Linked DNA regions of Macaca mulatta. The protein of the gene in region 6 interacts with the protein of the main gene of each other region in a biochemical or structural test. Links are inferred from orthologs where the notes say so. Each region holds a gene or a part of one and is shown on either strand. Other genes may lie near its edges. The genes, in order: CYSLTR2, WWTR1, KCNJ4, SCN5A, ADRA1D and SNTA1.

Evidence for each region.
Region 1: the proteins of SNTA1 (region 6) and CYSLTR2 interact in a test that uses a peptide from one of them, tested with the Homo sapiens proteins (2 studies listed by IntAct, with this or other methods). The link is inferred for Macaca mulatta from reciprocal best matches to the Homo sapiens genes SNTA1 and CYSLTR2.
Region 2: the proteins of SNTA1 (region 6) and WWTR1 interact in a test that uses a peptide from one of them, tested with the Homo sapiens proteins (2 studies listed by IntAct, with this or other methods). The link is inferred for Macaca mulatta from reciprocal best matches to the Homo sapiens genes SNTA1 and WWTR1.
Region 3: the proteins of SNTA1 (region 6) and KCNJ4 interact in a test that uses a peptide from one of them, tested with the Homo sapiens proteins (2 studies listed by BioGRID and IntAct). The link is inferred for Macaca mulatta from reciprocal best matches to the Homo sapiens genes SNTA1 and KCNJ4.
Region 4: the proteins of SNTA1 (region 6) and SCN5A interact in a test that uses a peptide from one of them, tested with the Homo sapiens proteins (2 studies listed by BioGRID and IntAct). The link is inferred for Macaca mulatta from reciprocal best matches to the Homo sapiens genes SNTA1 and SCN5A.
Region 5: the proteins of SNTA1 (region 6) and ADRA1D interact in a test that uses a peptide from one of them, tested with the Homo sapiens proteins (2 studies listed by BioGRID and IntAct). The link is inferred for Macaca mulatta from reciprocal best matches to the Homo sapiens genes SNTA1 and ADRA1D.

What each region holds. Positions count from the first base shown.
Region 1 is NC_133422.1:27,896,351-27,899,850, reverse strand, and holds part of CYSLTR2 (cysteinyl leukotriene receptor 2), read right to left. Parts: intron 593-3,500; coding exon 1-592. UniProt on the Homo sapiens protein: Receptor for cysteinyl leukotrienes. The response is mediated via a G-protein that activates a phosphatidylinositol-calcium second messenger system.
Region 2 is NC_133407.1:52,659,138-52,663,372, forward strand, and holds the start of WWTR1 (WW domain-containing transcription regulator protein 1), read right to left. Parts: upstream 2,801-4,235; 5' UTR 2,540-2,800; exon of another isoform or gene 2,385-2,539; intron 2,085-2,384; 5' UTR 2,082-2,084; coding exon 1,651-2,081; intron 1-1,650. UniProt on the Homo sapiens protein: Transcriptional coactivator which acts as a downstream regulatory target in the Hippo signaling pathway that plays a pivotal role in organ size control and tumor suppression by restricting proliferation and promoting apoptosis.
Region 3 is NC_133415.1:13,109,590-13,112,957, reverse strand, and holds the end of KCNJ4 (inward rectifier potassium channel 4), read right to left. Parts: intron 2,986-3,368; 5' UTR 2,947-2,985; coding exon 1,609-2,946; 3' UTR 501-1,608; downstream 1-500. UniProt on the Homo sapiens protein: Inward rectifier potassium channels are characterized by a greater tendency to allow potassium to flow into the cell rather than out of it.
Region 4 is NC_133407.1:100,937,935-100,941,943, reverse strand, and holds the start of SCN5A (sodium channel protein type 5 subunit alpha), read left to right. Parts: upstream 1-1,209; 5' UTR 1,210-1,410; intron 1,411-4,009. UniProt on the Homo sapiens protein: Pore-forming subunit of Nav1.5, a voltage-gated sodium (Nav) channel that directly mediates the depolarizing phase of action potentials in excitable membranes.
Region 5 is NC_133415.1:79,802,511-79,806,807, reverse strand, and holds the start of ADRA1D (alpha-1D adrenergic receptor), read right to left. Parts: upstream 2,801-4,297; 5' UTR 2,397-2,800; coding exon 1,286-2,396; intron 1-1,285. UniProt on the Homo sapiens protein: This alpha-adrenergic receptor mediates its effect through the influx of extracellular calcium.
Region 6 is NC_133415.1:86,197,626-86,201,658, forward strand, and holds the start of SNTA1 (alpha-1-syntrophin), read right to left. Parts: upstream 2,801-4,033; 5' UTR 2,622-2,800; coding exon 2,312-2,621; intron 1-2,311. UniProt on the Homo sapiens protein: Adapter protein that binds to and probably organizes the subcellular localization of a variety of membrane proteins. May link various receptors to the actin cytoskeleton and the extracellular matrix via the dystrophin glycoprotein complex.

The DNA.
Region 1 (3,500 bases), on a different chromosome or scaffold from region 6:
AGTAATTGTGTAGAGATTCAGCTCTAAGCATGATATGACACTGCCCTTCTGCTCAGAGCCATTGTTGAGGAGCATTACTGAGGAAGCCATGGTAAAGATCCATATGATCCCACATAGGATCCAGGCACTCCTGATGCTGGTGACATGCAGAAGCCGAAAGGGGTGAACAGTTGCCAGGAAACGCACAACACTCAGCACGGTCAGGAAATAAATACTGCTGTACATGTTGACATACAAGGAATAAGACATAATCCTGCAGGCCAGGTCTCCAAATATCCAGTCGGAGCCTCTAAGATAATAGTCAGCCCTGAAGGGAAGTGTGCTTATGAACAGGAGATCTGAAATGGCCAGATTTAGCATGAAAACATTCACAGATGTGGACTTCTTATAAGGCTGCAGGAAAACATATATGGACAAGCCATTTCCCAAGACTCCCCAGACAAATATTATCAGATATACAACTGGGAAAAATTCTCTCTTGAAGTTTTCAATTGTGCAGTTTCTGCTGTTGTTGTTACTGCTGAAGGTGCCATTTGGTTCCATTTCTGATACGGAGATGGATGGATGCAAGGACATAAATTTTCTTTCCATGCTGGGTTAAAAAGAAACAGACATAAAAAGTTACTTTGTGAATTTCCCTTTTCCCTTCTTGCTTACCGATTACATCTCTCTAGGTTTTAATGAAACAGGGAGCAATACTATCTTTTCTTTGAAAGTTGAGTTTTAAAACGCTGGTTAAGTCTTTAATATATGCTGCATTACACTTCATAATAAATTTAAACTTCCTGATTTTTGAATATAGAATAGCCATTAATTTGTTTGGTCGAAGTTGACACTTCAAACTTAGGGAACTTGTGACCTGGTGCCCATGTTGACATGAATACCTCCCTGTGATATTGCAGCCTAAAACTACTGAATAGCAGATTTCTCATCAGAAACTGTGGAGGACAGAAGGAAATGGCACATTTCTCAAATGCTGAAAGAAAAGACCTGCCAACCTAGCATTCTACGTCCAGCAAAAACATCCTTCAAGTACAAAGAGAAAATCAAGACTTTTTCAGACAGAAAACTGAGACTTTGTTGTCAGCAGATCTATCTTAAAAGAATGACCAGGCTGGGCATGGTAGCTCACATCTGTAATTCCAGCACTTTGGGAGGCTGAGGCTGGTGGATCACTTGAGGTCAGGAGTTCAAGACCAGTCTGGCCAACATGGTGAAACTCCATCTCTACTAAAAATACAAAAATTAGCTGGGCCTAGTGGCAGGTGCCTGTAATCCCAGCTACATGGGAGGCTGAGGCAGGAGAATTGCTTGAATCTGGGAGGCAGAAGTTGCAATGAGCTGAGATCATACCATTGCACTCCAGCTTGGGCAACTAGAGTGAAACTCCATCTAAAAACAACAACAACAACAACAACAAATAATGACTAAAGGAAGTTATCTAAGCAGAAAGGAATTCATAAAATAAGGAATCTTAGAATATTAGAAAATAAGAAAGAACATGGTAAGCCAAAATATGTGTAAATACAATAGGCTGTCCTTCTCTTTTAGAGTCTAAGTTACATTTAATGTTTTGAAATAAAAATGTTAATGCTGCCTGATGTGGTTTTAAATGGATGTAGAGGAATTATTAAGACAATTATATTATAAATGAGGGAAGGTAAAGAGATGTAAGAGGAAATAAGTTTTCTATACTTCACTTGAATTGGTAGAATGATGATGCTAATAGACTATCATAAGATATATATACACCTATATATCTTTATATATATATATCTATGTATATACATATAGATCTTTATATATATACATATATATATCTTTATATATATATATAGAGAGAAAATACCTAAAGCATCCACTAAAATGATATACAAAGGGATACACTCAAAAACATTACAGATAAATAAAAATGGAATTCTAAAAAGCATTCAGATAACCAACAACAAGGCAGGAAAAAGAAGAGAGACAATAAAAACAGAAAACAAAAAATAAAATGGCAGACATCCCTGATTCATCAATAATTACATTAAATATAAGTAATCTAAATATACCAAGTAAAAGATAGAGGAATGGAATATATTTTTTAAATGACCCAATTATGTACTGCCTACAACAAACACTTCAAATAGCAGTATTGGCTGGTTGAAAGTAAAAGGATGGAAAAATGCTTGCTATTCAAATCAAAGGAAATAAGGGATAGCTCTTTTAGTATCAAATAAAATGGACTTCAAAGCAAAGGACATTGCCAGAGACAGTGAGGGACACTATATAATAATAACAGGGTTTAACCACTAAGAAGACATACCAATTCTAAATGGGTATGCACCAAACAACAGAGTGGCAAAACTGAAGCAAAACTGATAAAACTGAAAGGAGAGATACTTGGTGACTTCAAGGACCTCTCTCAGCAATTGATGAAGCAAATAGACAAAAACTCAACAAAGGTATAGAAAAACTAAAAACACCATCAACAAACAGGATCAAATTGACATGTATAAAACACTTCACCCAACAAGAGCAAAATACTTAAGCTTTTAAGTGTTCACAAAACGCATACCAAGATAAACCACATCCTGGGACATAAAACAAGCCTCGATAGATTTCAAATAATTGAAATAATATAGAATGTGTTTTCTAACCACAAGGGAATCAAACTAGAAATCAGCAGCAGAAAGATAACAGGAAACCCTCAAAACACTTGAAAACTAAACAACACACTTCTAAATAATCCATGGGTCAAAGAGGAAGTCTCAAGGGAAACAAAAAATATATTGAACTGAATAAAAGTGAAAATATAAATTTGTAAGATGTAGCAAATGCAGTATTAGGACAAAACTGTATAACACTGAATGCATACATTACAAAAAGGAAAAGTCACGAAATAAGAATATAAGCTCCATCCTCAAGAAGAAAAAAGCAAGCAAAAGGAAGGAAATAGTAAAGAGCAGAAATCAAGAAATAGAAAACAGAAAAAAATAGGGAAAAAATGAAATGAAAAACTGGTTATTTGAAAACAATCAATACAATTGATTACAGGTGCATGCCACCATGCCCAGCTATTTTTCTTTTTTGTAGAGATGCTGTCTCTCCATGTTGCACAGGTTGGTCTTGAACTCCTGAGCTCAAGTGATCCTACCACCTTGGCCTTCAAAGTGTGAGATTACAGGCGTGAGCCACCATGCCTGGCCAGGTAACTTTCTTATAGTAGCAGAACAGATGAAGACAATAATGAACTAAAAATTGCATATATTAAATAAAATATTACATCTCCTGACAAATCTTTAGCAAGAGGTACAAAAAAAAATAGAACAGACATAAATTTCCATTGTCAGGAATAAAACAGGAGATAACACTATCAATAGATACCTGAGGCATCAAAAGAATAATGAGAAAAACTTTGAATAACCCTACAAACATAAATTTCACAACTTAGAGGAACTAGACTAATTCCTCATAAAATGAAAAATAACTCACTCAACATTAAGTAGATAATTTGA
Region 2 (4,235 bases), on a different chromosome or scaffold from region 6:
AAGGTGGCTCAAGCTTGTAATGCCAGCACTTTAGGAGGATGAGGCAGGCGGATCACTTGAGGTCAGGAGTTCGAGACCAGCCTGGCTAACATGGTGAAACCTCCACTCTACTAAAAATACAAAAATTAGCCAGGCATGGTGGTGGGTGCCTGTAATCCCAGCTACTCGGGAGGCTGAGGCAGGGGAATTGCTTGAACCCGGGAGGCGAAGGTTGCAAGTGAGCCAAGATTGTCCCACTGCACTACAGCGTGGGTGACAGAGTGAGACTTTGTCTCAAAAAAAAAAAAAAAAGTCATGTTATTACATCACATACTTGACTCCACCCGCTACTTAGAAGTCAAAGGACTGAGCACATGTACAAACTATCACTCAATAACCCAGAGAAGACCAGCCGTGGCATAAATGACCATCAAGTCTGTTTCAGAATCTCAGCATTATACCAACCTCAGAAACACAAAAAGAACTCCTTGAACAAGATACTAACAGCCTTGAGATGGGGAAGGAATAGGAATTGGTCACTGGTATGAGTCAAAGGGTTCACTATAGTAAACTTCATCCATCACTGTGTATGCATTCTTAAAGCTCTCTCATAGCAATCAAAGCATCAAATATTAGTGCCAAAGAAAGGCTTGATTAAAGTTTTAAAATTGTACATAGTCTTTTGAACTAAGGCTACTCTACTAAAGAAATATAGGCTTTAAAATGAAATCTAAGTCAGTTTTTTAGGAGAGGAGTTTCCCTCACTGGCAGTGCAGGCAATCCTGAACCAAGTGGTCAGGCTGGCACAACCTCCATCTTTGATAGTCTGACCCTATGACCTCGATGGAACATTTCAAGTTCCAGCTTGGTTTCTCCTGAAGAATGTAGTTATCTTAGGGTACCGCAATTGAAACAATCTCCTCTAGTGTTTGAGAATATATTTTCCTGTGGGGTGTAATGTGATAATTTGAACTAATGTAAAATTCATGACATCAAAAAGCTGGAACAATGTGAAAGGAAGAAGAGCAGGCTTGTGATTTGATGGTATTTTAGGTTAACAAGTTTAATGTAATAAAACTCCTGACACAATTTCCACACGATTGATTTGTCCAGCCCACAGCTACTTCACCACACAGTTGCTAATTACATCACTGTGCTGTGTGGTCATTATGTCACCCAGCTGGGAGCACTACGGCCTACCAGCCACTGTTCACTTTTCCAGCTTGCTTTTCCCAAGAAGACAGAACCTGCAGACCACCTACTTCACCAAAAGTCCCTCTGTTCCTCAAGCTTCACAGCTTTTCTCTCATTTATCTTGGTGTCACATCCCAAAGGGCCTGGCTCTGGACTATCTGACTCAGAGTGGCCAAGGAAGGGACTAAGGGTCTGTGCCCAGGAGTTGGCTTCAATCCTGCAGATTCAGAGCAAAGTCACCTGTGTGTTTTATGGTGGATGAACTTCACCACACTCTCCTCCGCTTCTGATCCCTACAATTCCAACACCCAGAGACTCACTCCCTGCTTCCAGCTCTCCATATCTGTGAAATAACCGTGGAAGGACACACACCATCTCTCTCTCTCTGTGTGTGTGTCACACACACATACACACACGAACACACGCGCGCGTTGGGCACTGTGCCTTGGTGCCGTCTTCGGCTCCAAGTTGACTTACTTCAGGAAGTATCTCTGGCCAGTGGCCGTGAAGGTCATCTCCCAGCCCGGGGGCAGCGGCAGCTCGTCGGTCACGTCGTAGGACTGCTGGCGGAGGTGCGCGTGCTGCTGCGCGGGGCTACCCGCAGCACCCGCGCCGGTGCCCAGCTGCAGGGACGCGGGCGACGAGTGCGAGCGGACATGCTGGGCACCCCCAGCCAGTCGAGGCCCCGGGTGGCCGCCCGAAGAGTCGGTGCTGGACTGGCGCGAGTGCGAGCCCGAATCAGGCTCCTTGAAGAAAGACTCCGGCAGGATCTTCTTCCGCCACGAGCTAGGCTTCGGGTTCATGACAGAGTTGAAGAGGGCTTCGAGGTCTGTGTCTAGGTCCTGCGTGACGTGGATCACTTGCTGCCCAGGCGGCGGGAGCGGAGGGGGCGCCGAGGCCGGATTCATCTTCTGCAAAAAGAAGGTCAGATCAGTCTTTTATTTAAAGTCGGAGGAAGTGGGTAAAAGGGTTATAGGGTGAGAGGGCGAGATGGTGGGAGGAAGAATAGAGGGAAAAGGAAACGAGGAGACAGATAATTGCCCGCCTGGAGATCCCAGACACTCAGCGGTGAGACCAGCAGGATGGGGGAGGGGTCCCTCCTGGCCTCGAGAATTATGCAACTTTCTTGAAGCAAAGAAGTTGCCGGGAGGAGGAGAAGGAAGGGCGAGGGGTGGAGGGAGTAACTGCACTCGAGGCTTGCTGAACCGCAGGATGGCAAAGGAAAGGTCGCAGCTTTCCCGGACAGGCAGCCCCCCGAAAGAAGTTCAGCCCGAGCCAACTCCACCACGTCTCGACTCCGGAAGCCTGGGGAGCCTGGAGCCCTGGAGTGGTGCCGGGTGAGCGCGCGAGCTCCAGCGGGCACTACCTGGGCGGGCAGCGAAGCTGAGCCTGAGAGCGAGGCGGCCGCCGTCCCGCCCGAACTTGCCGTCGGGCCTGGGTCGCTCGGGTGAGTCCCGAGATTGCGGAGCTGGAGCCGAGGCTTGGCTGACAAATCCTGACCCGACTCGGTGCCTGGCAGTCTAGGGGCTTCGGCTCTCACATCCCCCGAGCTGGCCTAAGGAGCTCGCGCTGGGCGAAAAGGAGGCGCAGGAGAAGCAGACAGCGCGGCCGCAGCAGCTCCCGGACTGTCCCATAAACAAAGTTTGGAGCAAACTCCCACCCCCAGGAAAGAGGCGGGCCCGAAAGTTGAGCTGTTGAATTATGTATGACCTCCTAGTCCCGAGCCGGCCGGCCCCCGCTCGCCCCTCCTCTTCCTCCTCCTCCTCCTCCCACTCCGGCTCCAGAAAACCCTGGGCGTGATGGGTACTTTACTGGGTAAGAGGAGACGGGTGCCCCCCACCCACTGCTCCCGGCCACGCGGACCTCTCCCGCGGAGCCCTGCATCTGCGTTCCTTTGAGTTTACCACGGACTTGGGGCGGGATCAAAGGGAAAGTGGCCTGAGCCTGTTTCATCAAGGGCTTGTGGACCGAAACCAAGGCCGGGGGTGGCGGAGGGCAAGCGGATGAGGGGCTCAGGCCTAGGAAGGGCCGGTCCTGGACACCGCGCCCTCCCCTGCAGCCAGACGCCGAGGCCGGCAGCACCCGGAGCGCCGCGCTGACCAGCGATTCTGCCCGAAGGCCGGCCCGGGTGCGCCCCGGCGTGGGGAGACTCCAACAAGGCCAGCCTTTCCACGAGAGGCTGCTTAGCTCTTGTGACCATATTTGGTCTGGCGAGGAGGCATCTTGGCTGCCTGGCTCTCAATTGTCTGCTAGAGCACAGACGGTGCCCAGAAAGTGCCTCTGTCACTGGAGATGCGGCTTCGCCAACGGGTGGGTTGTAAACAAACAACTTTCAAACCATTCATCAATCCTTAATTTCCTCTACGGGGGTGACTCAGGCCACTAGGGATTGAGAAGAAACCGGGTCAAAGCTGGGTGCTGGAAGAGAAGAGCAGTTGCGCCCCCCTCCCCCGCAACATCCGTGAGGGTTGTGGGAGGATTGGAATGTCCCTGCCGCCCTCCAGGGAGCCTGGAGCTGGGATGGAACCCGAGCAGGTGGCTAGGAGTAGGGAGGGTGCGCCAATGACCCGAAAAAAGCCACCCACCTTCCCACCGACTAGATCTGGGCGAGGGGTGGAGACCCCCTGCCTCTAGCTAAGGGAAGAAGGTCAAGCCTGGCGAAACAGCTGCGGGAAGTGGGAGGAGGCCTTGCCCTTCAGAGCAGCTCAATTTCTTTTCTCTCTGGTTCCCTTTCCACTGAAGGGAAAGGGTGGGGGGAGATGGCGAGGTAAGCCAAATTCCAGGAAACCCCTACCCCACTCCATTTGATTCAAATAGGAGTTTATTAAGTAAATCAAATGAGACAATGTAAAGCACTTCTCACAGCACCGGGCTGATTACATAAGTGTTAAAACAGAACTGTATGTTCTTCAAGTTCACGTACTGTGCCTTAATTTTTCTTTCTTTCTTTCTTTCTTTCTTTCTTTTTTTTTTTTTTTTTTTTTTTTTTTTTGAGGGAAGTCTCGCTCTTGTCCCCCAGGCTTTAGTGCAATAGCTCTATCTCGGCTCACCGCAACCTCCGC
Region 3 (3,368 bases), about 73 Mb from region 6:
ACACACAGGCACACACATAACACACAGGCACACACAGGCACACATACTACACAGGCACACACATAACACACAGGCACACATACTACACAGGCACACACCTAACACACAGGCACACACAGGCACACATACTACACAGGCACACACATGACACACACAGGCACATACAGGCACACATACTACACAGGCACACACCTAACACACAGGCACACACATAACACAGGCACACACATAACACACAGGCACACACCTAACACACAGGCACACACATAACACACAGGCACACACATAACACACAGGCACACACAGGCACACATACTACACAGGCACACACATAACACACAGGCACACATACTACACAGGCACACACATGACACACACAGGCACACACCTAACACATAGGCACACATACTACACAGGCACACACATGACACACAGGCACAATTACATGTGTGCTTGCTCACTGTCTCTCCTTCTCACCCCTCCATCTTCAACCAGCCAACCCCAATGGACCATATACTTTATTAAAAATATATAGTTATGGCCGGGTGCGGTGACTCACGCTTATAATCCTAACACTTTGGGAGGCCAAGGTGGGTGAATCACCTGAGGTCAGGAGTTCGAGACCAGCCTGGCCAACATGGTGAAACCCATCTTTACTAAAAATACAAAAATTAGCTGAGTGTGGTGGGTCATGCCTGTAATCTCAGCTACTCAGGAGGCTGAGGCAGGAAAATCGCTTGAAGCCGGGAGGCGGAGGTTGCAGTGAGCCGAGATTGCTCCGTTACACTCCAGCCTGGGCAACAAGAGCGAAACTCCGTCTCAAATATATATATATGGTTACAAACTCCGTCTCAAATGTGTATATATATATATAGTTACAAACTCTATTGTCAATCTGGGCTGGGCCCCGGGGCCGGAGGGACTGCAGGGAGGGAGGGATGCTCCCTCATCCCACCCCTCAGAGTCCCTCCTCTGCACCCAAACTCAACACCATCCAAGGGCCAAGGTGGCTGGCTTTGCAGGCCTCAAGGGGCCAGCCAGCTGGGCAGGGGAAGGGGCTAGGCTTGATGGGCAGGGTGGGGAAGGGTGCACAGAGAGGGACCATATCTCCTTGTCTGGCAGGTAAAAACGGCAGAAGGTGAATTTGGTGTCTCCATCTGTCTCCATTTATAGATATTTACAAAAGAAAGTCATGAGCAACAGGCCACAGTCATGCAAAAGAAACGCACCCCCCTCCCCAAACTAACCCCCTGCCCACCCTGAAACCCCGAGATGTCTCCCACCCAGCAGTCCAGTCACCTTCCCCAAGGTTCTGAGAGCAAAGAGGGCACGTCCTTGAAGAGTCAGTGGGGGAAGGGTGGTGGATCCGGGGACCCAGAGCCACCAGGAGTAGGTGCTGGGGGAACCCAGGCTGATTGGGCCGAGCTCTTCCCAGGCCAGGGTGCTGGAGTCAGGAGGAAGGGGTCCCCCAGTCTTTGAAACCCCCACCTTCCTCCAGAAGGTCCACGGAGCCACGGTTGGCTCTGTCCTGAGTGTGGGAGGGGGTGTCCTGGCATCCTACCCCCGGCAGAGGCTCTTGTGGGCAGTGGTGAGGGCCGGGCCTGGAGGTCAGATAGCAGACTCCCTGCGGTAGGAGATGTTGTCCAGCGGGAGGGAAGCCTGCATGCGCTCCAGGTCCAGGTGGCTGCCGAACTCCAGCATCCGGATGATGCCCGCCTCCTCCTTGGAGCCGGCCTCCAGGCCCAGGCCTGCGGCCACTGCGGCCGCCGCAGCCGCCTCCTCCTCCATCTCCTCTTCCTCCTGGCTCATGAGGGCCAGCTCGTTCTCATAGCAGAAGGCACTGGGAGGGGGCGGCGGGGCGGGCAGCACGGTGATCTTACTCTCCTGCAGCTCCCGGGCCGAGCAGCAGGGTGTGCCGGCCACCTCGTAGGTCTTGTGAAAACGCGAGTAGTCCACCTTGTAGTGGCTCTTCTCCTCAAAGACCACGGGCTCAAAGCGGTGGCCCCACAGGATCTCGCTGGCCAGGTAGGAGCTGCGGGCCTGGGTGGTCATGGCCGTGGCCTCCACCATGCCCTCCAGGATGACCACGATCTCGAAGTCCTCTGACTCCAGCTCCTCCTTGCCCATGCCATAGAGCGGGCTGTCCTCATCGATCTCGTGGACAATGATGATGGGCGACACCAGGAAGATGCGGTCCAGGCCGATGTCATAGCCCACGTTGAGGTCCCGCTGGTCCAGGGGCAGGTACTCACCCTCCTGGGTCATGTAGGGCTTGATGAGCTGGGCCCGCACGTGGGCCTCCACAATGTGGCTCTTGCGTAGGTTACCCACGCGCCACATGAGGCAGAGCTTGCCGTCGCGCACCGAGATGACCGCATGGTGGCTGAACAGCAGCGTCTGTGCCCGCTTCTTGGGCCGCGCCATCTTGGCCATGATGGTGCCGATCATGAAGGAGTCGATGACGCAGCCCACGATGGACTGGACCACCACAGCGATGACTGCCAGTGGGCACTCCTCCGTCACGCACCGGAACCCGTAGCCGATGGTCGTCTGCGTCTCCACCGAGAACAGGAAGGCACCCAGGAAGCCGTTCACGTGCATGATGCAGGGCTTGGGGGCCGCCGGGGCTGCCCCGCCACTGCCCGCCGCCGGCCCGCCCGCCCCGGGCACCCCTGGGCTGGCCTCCAGGTCACCGTGGAAGAAGGCGATACACCAGAAGAGGAGGCCAAAAAAGAGCCAGGAAACAAGGAAGGCCGCGGAGAAGATCATGAGCATGTAGCGCCAGCGCGTGTCCACGCAGGTGGTGAAGATGTCCGCCATGTAGCGCTGCGACTTGTTGCTCAGGTTGGCGAAGTACACATTGCATTGGCCGTTCTTCTTGACAAAGCGGTTGCGGCGTTTCCGCCGGGGCACGTGGGCCTGGCCGTTGCGGCTGTGTCCGTGCATGTCCTGAAGCCGGCGTGGTCACCTGGGAAGACGCAGGGCCTGCGGAGGAGAAGCCAGACAGGTGAAATGCTGGGGAGCAAGGGGCCTCCTCAGGGCCACCCAGACTCAGCCCCTAGACTCTCAGAAGCAGGTGAGCCTGGACCAGGACCTAAGACTTCCTCTGCCGCAGCAGGCGGAGGGTGGCAACGGAGGGGGTTCTGATGACAGGGTCTGAGCCAGTGCCCCTGAGTCCGACCCAGCTTAGAGATAGGGGTCCACAGACCAGGAAGCTAAAGCCACAAGGATCCAGGTCCTAGTCCCTGCCCCTCAACACTGCCCCTCCGGCCCTCCTATGCTCACTGTTCTGGAAGCTTCCTGAGGCCCATCTCAGTTCCTCCCTGTCCCTCTGTCCTGCTTGCCCTGAGCATAGGGAGCCACGGAGG
Region 4 (4,009 bases), on a different chromosome or scaffold from region 6:
TGTAGTGATCTGTGGGCAAAAGCTGATGACCTGTTTTGTTTTGTTTGTGTTTTGTTTTTGTTGTTGTTGTTGTTGTTTTGAGAAGCAGCAAGATTTATTGTGAAGAGGGAAAGAACAAAGCTTCTACAGCGTGGAAGGGGACCCAAGCGGGTTGCCCTGATGGCCTGTTTTGTTTAAACAAGAAGTGTGTCCCCATAGGTCCTGGGCATGGGCGTGTGAGCAACTGTTTGTCAGCATATGTCTCCGTGTGTGTGTGCCTGTGACCATGTCTCTGAGTGAGAAACAGTTGGTGTGTGGGTATGTGACTCCAGGCACACATATACATACATATATGTGTGTATACATGTATATATGTGTGTGTGTGTTTGTGTGTGCGCGTGTGGGTGTCTCTGTGTTGGTTGCCTGCTTCCTTCTGGGTCTGGGTGTGTGTTTGGTTCTGTGAGCATGTGCGTCAGTATGTTCAGGTAGTGTGTACCGTTGTGCAGATTTCTGTGGCATCACTAAGTGTGTCTCCAGGAAAGTGTGGTTCGAGTGAGTGTGTGTGTCTCTGTGTCAGTGTGTCAGTGGATGTGTGTCTAAGTCATGTGGGTGTCTAAGTTTGTCAGAGTGTCTTCCTCAGTGTCAGTGTGTGTCAATGATGTGTCTGTCTGGGTCTGTGTGGGTGTGTGGGGGTGTGTATCTGTCTCAGGGTGCATGTGTGTGTCTGTGTCAGTGCAGGTATGCCTATGGCAGCGTGTGTCTGTCTCGGCATGAGTGTCAGTATACGCCCATGTCCACGTGGGTGGGTGGGTGTCTGATGTAGCCTTTCCAAGTCAGCAAGGTTGTGTGTGTGTGTGTGTGTGTGTGTGTGTGTGTGTGTGTGTACTCCGGCGTGTGCTGGTGTATATGCCAGTGTTTGTTAATGTGTGTCTGTCCGCGTCCGCGTGGGTGGCCATCTGTGGCAAAGCGTCCCCGGGTCGGCGTGTGTGTACCCCCGCCTGTGTCTGTCTGTCCGCGGCCGCGTGGGCGGTTGTCTGTGGCTGTGCGCCCCCGGGTCAGTGTGGGAGTGTGTACCCCGGCGGGAGCCGGTGTATCCCCCACCTCCGAGCGGGCGGAGCGCCACGTGCGGAGCCTCGGGCGCGTCGCTCTGGGGCGGAGCCAGCCCGGGGCCCCAAGCCCCAGGCCGAGCCCAGGCGGGGCCCGCCCCGACCCCGCCCCCGACCCCGCCCCCAACCCGAGCCCGCGCGCCGCCTGCCCAGCCCGGGAGCCCGAACCGAGCCGCGGAGCCGAGACGGCGGCGGCGCCCGTAGGATGCGGGGATCGCTCCCCCGGGGCCACTGAGCCTGCGCCCAGTGCCCCGAGCCCCGCGCCGAGCCGAGTCCGCGCCGAGCAGCAGCCGCCCACCCCGGGGCCGGGCCGGGGGACCAGCAGGTGAGCGAGCGCCCCCGCGCCCGGCAGCCCTGGCCCGGCCGGAGCCCCCTCCGCCTGCCGCCGCCCAACTTTCCTCCCCGAGGGCCGAAGCCTCCAGCCCCAGCGTGCTCCTCCCCTGCCCGGGTCCACCCAGCCGCTCCCTCCCCGATCAGTGCCCCAGAGAAACGGAGGGGGAGAAGGGGCGCAGATCCGCCCGGCTGGAGGGGATCCCCGGGGGAGACGTCTCTAATCACCGTGCGCCCCCCTTCCCTTCTCTTTCCTTCCGGGTTTCCCGGTGCGCTGTCGAGGGCCGGGGGAGGGGGAGCTGCGGCCCCAGCTTCCCGGTCATCCCTGGCGCAGGCTCGGGGAGGGTCTGGGATTGGGACCCGGATTCCGGAGGCCGGAGACCCCAAGGTCAGAGCGGCGACTGGGCGCGCAGTGAATGTGGTTTCAGAGAGCGGGAGCTGCGGGGGCTGACTGAGCAGGGCTGGATATGGGGGAGGAAGCCACGCACCCCCTTTCTCTGGGCCCAGGGGGAACCGTCCGCTGGGGCTGTCCTCTCTGTGGGACGAGATCTCTGCGCGCTTAGACCACGTAGAGATCTCGGTGCCCTTTGACGCCCTAAAGGGGCCACATCTCCTCTATCTGATCTCTGTGCTTCTCGAAGGGGTAGAGATCTCTGTGCGCTGAGATTGGAGAGAGTTCTCTGCCCCCCTCTCTCTGAGCCGGACAGATCCACGCACCCTGATGGGAGGTGGCTCTTGACCTCTGTGTTATTTGATCGTCTTTGGTGGCGCCCTGGAAGAAAGTAGAGGTGTCAAGCCTTGTCCGAGACGCCAAGGGCTGGTGGGGGCCAGAGGTGTGGGCACTGTTAGTGGTGGTGATGAGGATGGGGGGAAATGATGTTGGGGACAAGTCGCTGGCTGTAGGCCTGACTTGCAAACACCTGTTGGAGAGCAGCGCACAGCCAGATCAGGACGCCATGGCTAAGATAGTGCAGGACTCACTCTTGTGCTCCTTAGTGCCTTCAGCCGAGCCCCGGGCCATGGGATCTATCTCCTCTTAAGGTCCTGGGCCTATGTTCCATTCCCAGGCATCTGCTTGCCTCCTGCTGAGACCCCAGGTGTCTCTCCCAGTGAGCCTAGGCAGTATCATCCCGACAGTCACACCACGTGACCCCCACCATGCCATGGCATCCAAAGCCCTCTCCCAAGTTCCAACCATCCTTCAGGATCTAGTGGGACCCTGAGCAGCAGAGGCCCCAGCTACTGGGGGCCCAGGCCCTTGCCACTGCCCTCAACTCCATTCGGTTAGAATTGGGCAGGTGCACATGAATTGATGGTAATGAGTGAGAGGTGGAATGAGGGTGGTCAGGCTGCTGTCGCAGGAGCACGGAGAGGGTGAAGTCAGGCGACAGACAGCCAGGGTGTGGAACACAGCTTCTATGTTACAGTGTCCAACTCTGTGCTGAAAAGAGCCTCATTAAACTTTTAATCATATCATCACCACCATATTGTACAAGTGGGGATACTGAGGCCCAGAGGAGCTCAAGGACTTATTCAAAGTCATCTAGAGAATCAGTGGATTGGGGGCACCACTCAGTGTGAAGATACCTTGAGATCCTAGAACTGAGCCAGGAGGATCTGGGCAGAAGGGGAACTGGCCCTGGGGTGCCAAGAGCCAGCATTCAGCCCAATGCAGCATGGGCAGCTGCTGGGCTCTAAGGTGCTCAGCCCCCTCTCTGTGTGTTGATCAAAGCTCCCCTGGAAAAATTCTAGGATTGACTCACTTAGCATGAAGATTGGGCTCGGAGGACTGGTGGGAAGCACCAAGACAGCTGGGGATGGGGGAACAGCGGAGGCTGGTGCCCAGGCAATCCAAAGAGAAGGGAGTCCTGAGGGCAGCCAGGGACAGTGCCAAATTGCAGTCTGTGTTCTGTTCAGAGGAGGCTGGCTTCTGCTCACTCTTGGGAAGGTTATTGGAAGGGTGTGCAGTGATAGAAGTGTGTCCCCAGAGCCCACTCACAGGAGAGGTGGTTACCTTTGACTGGGATAGTCAAGAGTCTTATTCTAACAAAAATAACCTTCCACACTGGGTTTTGAAGGGTGAATAGGAGTTTTCCAGGCAAGGACAATGTAGTCTAGCTGTTAGGACCAGTGTGTACAAAAGCACAGAAATGTGAAACAGCACAATTATTAGTTGAGTGATTCGTTGGGCCCCATGGTGTGAGGAAGAGAAGAGCGGAGTTAAAGCCAAGGTCACAGTCACGGGGGCCCTTGTGAGCTCTGCTCAGGAATTGGGAATTTATCCTCAGTAATGTTACTAAAAATAGCTAACATTCACTGAGTGCTTTCTGCAGGCCAGGCATGGCACTAAGCGCTTTATAAGGTTAATCTCACTGAATCCTTGCATCAACCCTAGAGATAGGGACCATCATAATGGCCATTTTGCAGATGGTGAAACTGGGGGTCCAGAAAGGTTAAATAGTTGCATACCATCACATTTTCTAAGTAGCAGAACTTGGGTTTGAGCCCAAGTGTCAATATCTGCTGTGTACTCTACCACCTCCCCAGCTCAGACCATGGGTGCCATCTGAAGTCTTTCCATTGAAGGAGAGGTG
Region 5 (4,297 bases), about 6.4 Mb from region 6:
GAGGGGGAGAGGGCAGAGAGGGAGACAGCTCTCATTTGAGATCTCCATTGTAGGAAGGGGGACCACATGTCTGCATGGCTCCAGTTCTAGCCTGTGGTCCCGGTGTAAATATTCATAGTGTCCTATTTTGGTTTGGACAACAATGCATTTGAAGGTCACCCTCTCATAGGTGATGATAGAGAGTTTGGATTTTGTTCTCAGGACAGTGGGAAAGCACTGAGGGCTTTTAATAGGAGAGTGACACATCTAATTTATAATATATAAAGTTCACTGTGGCTGCAGTGTGGAAAGGGCTTTCGGGGGCACAGGAAGGAGGCCATTGTCTCTTTCCTGACTCAGCCTGGCAGTGTGGAAGGGTCCAGGCCTGGGAAAGGCAGAGAAGGCCCAGCTTGGGCCTGCGGAGGTTGCAGCCATGGGTGGATCTGACTCCCGGCAAATTTGTCCCCAGAGATGCTCTTCCCCCTCTACTCCTTGCACTGGTCCAGCCTCCAGTCCCAGACCCGGGGCTTCCAAGAGAGGCCTCAAGGGGTAGAAGGCGGCCTCTGAAAACAGCTGCCCACCTCCCAGGACTGCAGGGCAGCTTGTGAAAGAAGCAGGAAAGTTCCCCGGAAGAGCTCAAGGACTCAGTAAGCTCAAGAAATAACGATTAACAATATGAACTTTCCGTTTGATAATTTATCCCTATCCCTGTGCTTCTCATCGCTACACAACCTCCTTCCTTTCCAAGAGGGGATTTCAGAAATGAGAGCCCAGGGCACTCAAAAACACAGCTGGGGAGGGTCTCAAAATGGGGCCAGCTTCCAAACTGAATGAGTGCTGGGGAAAAGCGGGTGGCTTCTGGCATCTGCTAACGTACCTGTTGACTGGCCAGGGCTCGCTGCCCGTGAATGAACACATGGAGGCCCACCCACTCTGTGCACCCACCTCCAGGGAGGGGGATCTGTAGGGGGACACACACACTGCCGACCACATATGGGCAGATGCCTGCCCAGATTTTCACAGACGTTTTATTTTTAGAGGGGCCAGCAGCATAAGCCCAAGGCTTGGAAGAGAAGAAGGGAAGGACAGAAAAGTTAGAAGCCTGTGAAACAAACCTGGCGAGGATGAAGACCCTCTCTTTGGCACTCCACAAAATGGTGCATGCACACCTGCCTCTTAGGAGACTCAGGACTTGCTAAGCCAACTTTCCAGGTTCAGGTGGGGGTCGCCCAAGTCTGGGTGCCACGAGGACACCGCCATAGGCTCAGGGAGAACAGGAGGGGCCGGTGGGAGAGGGGTCACTCACCGAGCGGCAGGACAAAGAAGAAAGGGAACCAGCAGAGCACGAAGACGCCCACGACGATGGCCAGCGTCTTGGCCGCTTTCTTCTCACGGGAGAACTTGAGCAGGCGCACGGAGAGCGAGCTGCGGAAGGTGTGGCCCTTGGCGCTGCGCAGGCCGTGCGCCCCGTCGGCGCCCGTGGCCGCGCCACGACAGTGGATGCGCAGCACCACCTCGGAGGCCTTGCCTCGCTCGCGCTTGACGCCCGCCTCGAGGCTGCGCGTGGTGCTGCGCGCGACCACGTACACGCGGCAATACATGACCACGATGACCGCCATGGGCAGGTAGAAGGAGCACACAGAGGAGAAGACAGCGTAGCCCGCCTCCTCGGTGATACCGCAAAAGCGCTCGTCAGGGGGCACGGGCTCCTTCCAGCCCAGCAAGGGCCCTACGGACACCACCAGGGCTACGACCCAAAGCAGTGCCAGGATGGCGGCCGCCTTGCGCTCGGTCATGATGGCTGGGTACTTGAGTGAGTGGCGCACGCCCACGTACCGGTCCACGGAGATGGTGCAGAGGCTGAGGATGGAGGCCGTGCAGCACAGCACGTCCACGGCGGCCCACACGTCGCAGAAGGCCCGGCCAAAGGCCCAGAAGCCCAGAACCTCCATGGTGGCCGAGAAGGGCAGTACCGTGGCACTCAGCAGCAGGTCGGCCACGGCCAGGTTCACGATGAAATAGTTGGTGACAGTCTGCAGGTGTCGGTTGCAGGCCACTGAGAGGATGACAAGCAAGTTACCTGCCACGGCCATAAGGATGAAGGCTGCCAGGAAGACGCCCACACCCACGCCCTGCGCGCTCACCACCAGTCCCCCGACGGCCGCCGTGCCATTCACGTCGCTGCCCGGGCCAGCGCTCCCCGGCTCCCCCGCGGAGCTCCGGTTGTCCTCGCCGCTGCCTGCGCCAACCACGCCGCCACCGCCGCCCGCGCCCCCCGGCACGCCGCCCACCGCCGGGCCCTCCGAGGGGGCCGCGCCGCCCGCGCTGCCCCCGCCGCCGCCCGCGCTGGAGCCCCCTGCGCTGCTGTCCGGGCGGGGTCCCTCGAAACTGACGCTCAGGAGATCGCGGAAAGTCATCTCAACGCGCGGCCGTCGGTGGCCGGGCCGGGACGCAGAACGAGCGGCCGGCAGGGAGGGAAGCACAGGGCATAGCCGCGGGGCTCCAGATGCAGCTCCGCACGGTCTTGTTGGGGTCCTGCCTAAGTTCCTGTGACGCGGAGCGCGGCTGTCCGAGAGCGGAGCTGCCTGGCCCGGGCGGCGGCCGGGCTCCCCGAGGCCGGCAGTGGACTAGCACCGAAGAGCCGGGGCTGGCGACGCGCGCGGCGCTCTGATCGTGCCCAGCAAGCGGGCAAAGCGGCGGCTCCGGGGCCGGGCGGTGCAGGCAGCGGCCACTGCGGCGCTCCCAACTCGGCGCGGGGGGCGGGACCGAGGAGGGGCAGCGCCAGGAAGGAGGAGGGGGCGACCCGGGCCGAGAGAGGGGCGCCACACCCCAGGGGAGAAGGGACCCTTCGCTCAGGACAAGCGAGTGTGTCGGGGTCTAGGGGGGCTGCGGCGCTGGCGCGTGCTCGGGTCCCGCAGCAGCCACCCACGCCTGTCCGCAAGTGCCCAAGCCCGCCCTCTCCCCTCGCGGTGCCCTTTGCTTTCCTTCCCGCTCCTCTCCCGGACCCCCTCCCCCTTGGTCCTCAGCGGCGTCCCTGTTTCTCCCGCCCTCTCCCCCGAGTCTCTCGGTCACTCGCTGGTGCCCTTGGGCGCGCGGTGCGTTGAAGGCGCGAGTCCCGGGTCTTCGGGATACCGGCTTTGGCCGCCAGAGAGCAGCAAGCGCCTGGGATCTGGGGACTGCGGACCGGACGGCGCAGTGCCGCTGCGGGTTGCCTCCTGGGACTGCCCATATGGATCTGCCGCACCTCCTTTTTCTCAGGCCACTGGCCAGGGCAGGGTTTCAGACACCTCTGCCCAGTGCGATGTCGTGAAGAGCGCCCAGGAAGGGTTGGAAACCTGTTCTGGGCTGAGGCTGGGTACGATGGGCTCAGGAGCAGGATGCTGTGGCTACAGCCCTCGGACCCTGCCCAAGACACGCTGGTCTACATACACTGTTACTTTTCTCTGTATCAGATGCGGGAATAAATCTTTCTGTAGCTACCTACCCTAAATAAGGGGCCTTGTTCTTGTTCTGGCCTTGTTAAGAGGGAGGGTGTAAGTGCCGGAGGGTGGGAAAGGGCACTTGGCAGGATGGTTAAATGGGGCGGGTGTGAGACAGTCTGGCTCCGCATCTGAATCCAGGCTCCGCCCCATATTAACTGTGAGACCTCTTTGTGCCACAGTTCCTCATCTGTAAAATGAGAATAAGAAGTGATGTCTACCTCCTGGCCTGAGGGTTAACTGAGTAAATATGGGTGAGGGCCCCAGAGAAGTGCTTGGGTATGTCAGCGGAGTAGGGCTTGTTCAGGGCAGGCTTTTAACAGGGAGGATGGAAGGCAGAGGAGGTGTGGGGCTGGTATGGACTCCGGATGCAGGTGTGGGAGAGGGTATGAGAAGCTTCTTGAGCAGCAGCAGGACTGGGTAGGGAGAGGCTCAAAGAAATCATACAGTTAGCCAACATAAAAATACCAGCTGCTGGCACATGGCAGGCACCATGCTGGATACACTAACTGTAAGGAGGGTAATGCCATCTCATAGTTGCAGAATGAGGAGGGCTTGAGCCCTACCAGGGAGATGAGGGCCTGTTTGCAGAAGTGTCTGGGAGGGGACAGAGAACCCATAGCCCTAGTGTCCACTGGTTGTGGTTAACACAGGGGCAGGATGTCTGAGTTTTAGATGAGAAGCTGCTTTGGAGAAAAAGTAAAAAACTGGAGAAATGTTGAGAGATGGGTGACCTCCCTCCTCTCCATTGCCCAGTCCAGGAAGATAAAGCTTTTATAATCATATCTTGGAAACAGCTCTTCCATGGCCTTCCCCATTAAATCTTTTATTTTGGTTTT
Region 6 (4,033 bases):
GCGATTCTAAAAACCTACCTGAATGGCATCTTGGATACAAAAGAAGCTAATACATTTTACTAAACGGCTTTATTACCAAACTCTTAAATGCCCTTTTAAAATAAGAAATAGTAATAATAGGTCACCTTAGTTGCATGTACCAAATGCCAACATTGCGTCTTTACAATATCCCATCACGTAGGCATGCTCAGTTTCCTATTACAGACACTGAAGTGTGGAGGGAAGCCCCTTGTCCAAGGTCACTCAACTAGTAAGTAGCAAAGCAAGCCAGTATTTGCACCTAGGCCTCCAGGCTCAAGAACCAACACTATTAACCCTACCACAGACGGCAAGTCAGGCCCTCAGATATCACACTCCTGGCTCATCCCCAGAATACTGAAGATGAAGAATTAGTGTCCCAGAGTGGGAGGTCATTGTTCCAAGGTCACACAAGCTGCTGGCGGAGCTGGGACTGGAACACCTCTCTTGACACCCACGCAGGCCCCACCGTTTGCTTATCTGCACAGAGCTTGAAGTCTAGGAGAGGAAGGGGTTTCTATTTATATCTGCCCTCCCCCACCTGAAACTAGGGGCTTCAGTTCAGTTTGAAGCTATGATCACTCATGGCTGCCTCAGACTAAGCTAGACTCTATAGGAGGGGTTACCATGGCAACAGGAGCCCAGATTTGGATCCAGTGGAAATACCTGAAGTCTCCTAAAAGTACCTTCCCCTCCACCTAGAAGTATGGAGCTGGGGAGTAACTTTGTGTGACCCTGGAAAGTCCCTGATCCTTTCTGAGTCTCAGTGCGTCCATCTGCAGAATGGAACTCTGTATGAATAAGTTCCTTCCTGCTCTGACACACTGAGTGTATAATTTTTGGATTGGTCTGTTGCCCTATCCCATGCTGGAGATTGAGGGTAAGACTGGTGCCCATACCCTCATTTTCCCATTTCCCCTTTTTAGCCTCTCTTGGTTGGGTGCCTGGGGATCTGCCCTTCTACAGGAAAAGAATCAACTTCCCTGAGCACTCTCTGGGGGACAGTAGCTGATAACTAAGGTTCAAATCCCAGCGCTGACACTCACTGTGTAATGGTGGGAAAATCATTTTACCTTTCTGAGTCTCAGTTTCTCCATCTGCAATATGGGGATTATACTCCCTACCTTTCACCACTTGTTGCCAGGATGAAGTGGATCATGAGACTAGTGTCCTGGGCACAGCACCTGGCACACAGTGGTGGCATTCACCACTATCTGCACCACCTCAGCCAAGCCAAACAGTCTGGAGGCACTCATCAACAGAACCAGTACCAGGGAGACCCCAGAGGGTACGGTACATATTCAAGGTGGAAACAAAGGCTGACACCCTTTCCCAAAGCACCCTGCTAGGGGCTGGGATCCTGAGAAGCCGATGGGCAAGCATAGTGAACCCAGCAGCTGGGGGTGTGCAAGGATTTTGAGAACTATGTTTAGCTGCTTTGGGAGTATCTCCTGGCCTCCATTTTTCCTCTCCGCTAACAGCAGTAATTAACTAAGGCACCTACAATGTGCTGGTGTGGTGAGCCCTGCTCTCAGAAACATCACAACTCTATCATCCTCTTATACAATTGAGGCAACTGAGATTCAGAGACGGGACGGGACTTTTGCAACCTCACACAGCTGATCCTCGATTCAAACACAGTCTGGTTGCACCCTAACTGCACCCCACTAGCAGTCAGTCCTGGGGACTGAAAGCTCCATCCTGTGCAAGGTGGAGATGGTCAGATCAGGAGACCCAAATCCAGCTGTCAGGGCTCCCCGCAGCCTTCCTGGGTCCTTAGATTCCTAGGTCCTTGCTGGCCTTCTGCCTGTGACCCCAGTCTGTGCCTGCACCCAGGCCTCCTATCCACCCCTGTGCTTCGCAGACTGCAGGCCTCCCCTCTGTACCCACCTTGGTTGCTTCTCAGGGACTCCCTCTTCCCTGTCCCACTAGTATCCCGGCCTCAACCCCCTTTCTCCACCCTCTGCTTTCCGGGGGACCCCTCTTGTCCTTGATGTTCATGCTGGTTGCCTCTCAGACCCCCACACCTCCACACAGAACTCCCACCCACGTGTCCTTGGTGCTCCCACAATCTCCTCCACACCTGTGTCTTCCGTGCCCCCTAAGGCCACCAACTACCGAAACCCACTCCGACCTTGGTGCGCCCAGTGCCCTCCGTTACCTGTTTCCTCAGACCTCCCTTACCCCCGGACAGGAGGCCTCCAGCTCCATGTCCTGGGCGCGCTGCCAGTCCCTTGCTCCCTCGGCGGCCCCCAGACACCACGACCCCGCGCCCTCGGTGTCCCGCGCCCACCTTTGATGCTGATGCCCAGCCCACCGGCGTCGGCCTTGCGCACCGTCACGCGGCGCCGCTGGAGCAGTAGCGCCTCTGGCAGCTGCGGGGCCCTCGCGCCCGGCTCTGCGGCGCCGTTGAGCTGCGCGGGCTCCGGCTCCCGCGGAGCGCCGGACTCGGGACCAGGGTCGCCGTCGGCGGGGCTCACGGTCAGCACGTCCTCCGCCAGACTCAGCAGCACCCGCTGCCACCGCTCCCCGCCGGTCCCCGAGCCCGCCCCGGCGCGCAGCTCCAGCAGCCCGGTGCGCGGGGCGCGCCTGCCGGACGCCATCTTCGCCTCCGAGACCCCGGGACGCCGCGCTTGCCCTGTCCCGCCGTGCCCAGCCCGCTCCGACCAAGCTCCCAGGGCAGAGGGCAGCGGGGGCCCCGCTGGGCCAGCCGCCACCCTACCCGGGCCGCTGGGGGAGGCGATCTAGGGGCGGGGCTACCCGGGGGTGTGACCAGTGCTGGGGACTGGGCCTCGGGCAAATGCGGGAGGCCGGGGCGGGGCCCGGGAGCCGAGGGCCGCAGTGTGAGACTACCTAGAGGGCGAGTCAGAAGGGCGGCGTGGCGGGACCACTAGGCAAGGCGAAAAGCCCGGGAGGCGCGGTGCTGGGCGGGGCGTCGGGGGGCGGGGCTTCGCGTCGTGGGCGGAACCCAATCAGCCCGCGCAGTGGGCTCTGCGCTCGGCATGTCCATCGAGGGCCGGGACTGTAGCTCCCGGACGTGGGAGCGCATGAAAAAAAAACAGAACCACGTATCCTGGTGCGAAGCACTGGGCAACGGGCTGGGCTGCATATGGCGGAGGACTGGGCTGCGTATGGTGGTCTGGGCTCCAGGGCTTGAGTTTAAGAGGTAGACACCGGCCAGGCGTGGTTGCTCACGCCTGTAATCCCAACACCTTGGGAGGCCTAGATGACAGCCCAGAGGCTCGAGGCTTCAGTAAGCCGCGATCGCGCCACTGCACTCCAGCCTGGGTGACAGAGCGAAACCCTGTGTCAAAAAAACAGAAAGGTGGACGCTGAGCCGCGAGAGACCTTGCAGGCAGAGTTGCTAGTTGGGGAGCTGAGGAAGAAGCTGGTTTCCCATCAGGTGGTCGAGGCTTTGGTCTGTGGGCGTGGCTTATCGTTGGCGTGGCTTCTAAAGAGGACAGGCCCCGCCCCCGGAGGAGAGAGCTGCCGACTCCACTTAGGGCTTGGGGAGGGGGTGGGCAGGATCCCCACTTCAAAACTGGAGGGAAGTTTAAGAGATTAATCCCTGGCTGTGTTCGCAGTCAAGTATAGAAAAGCCTGAAGTCCCACACTTTGAGGCCTGGCAGAAAAACCCAGAACTCCTAGTGTGGGGGAAGAAGGCTGCAAGGTGGGGCTCTGGGTCTGGGCCTCTGGAGACCTGGTTTCTAATCCTTGCTGCCTGTGTTAGCTCCAAGTCGACCTTGGTCCCCTCACGTTACTGCTCTAGGCCTCAATTTCCTCATCTGTAAAATGTGGATCATAATAATACCTACTTCACTGGGCTGGTGTGAGGATTAAATCAATGTGAAAACACGTGGTAAACTGTGACTCTATGCTATAATCACTTTCATTTAGTGACTGCTTACTCTTAGCTAGGGCTAGCAGAGTATTTTCCATGTGTTATCTCATCTTTACATTAGCCTCCTGGAGTAGCTAAGAGCACCCCCAGCTGGGCACAGTGGCTCACACCTGT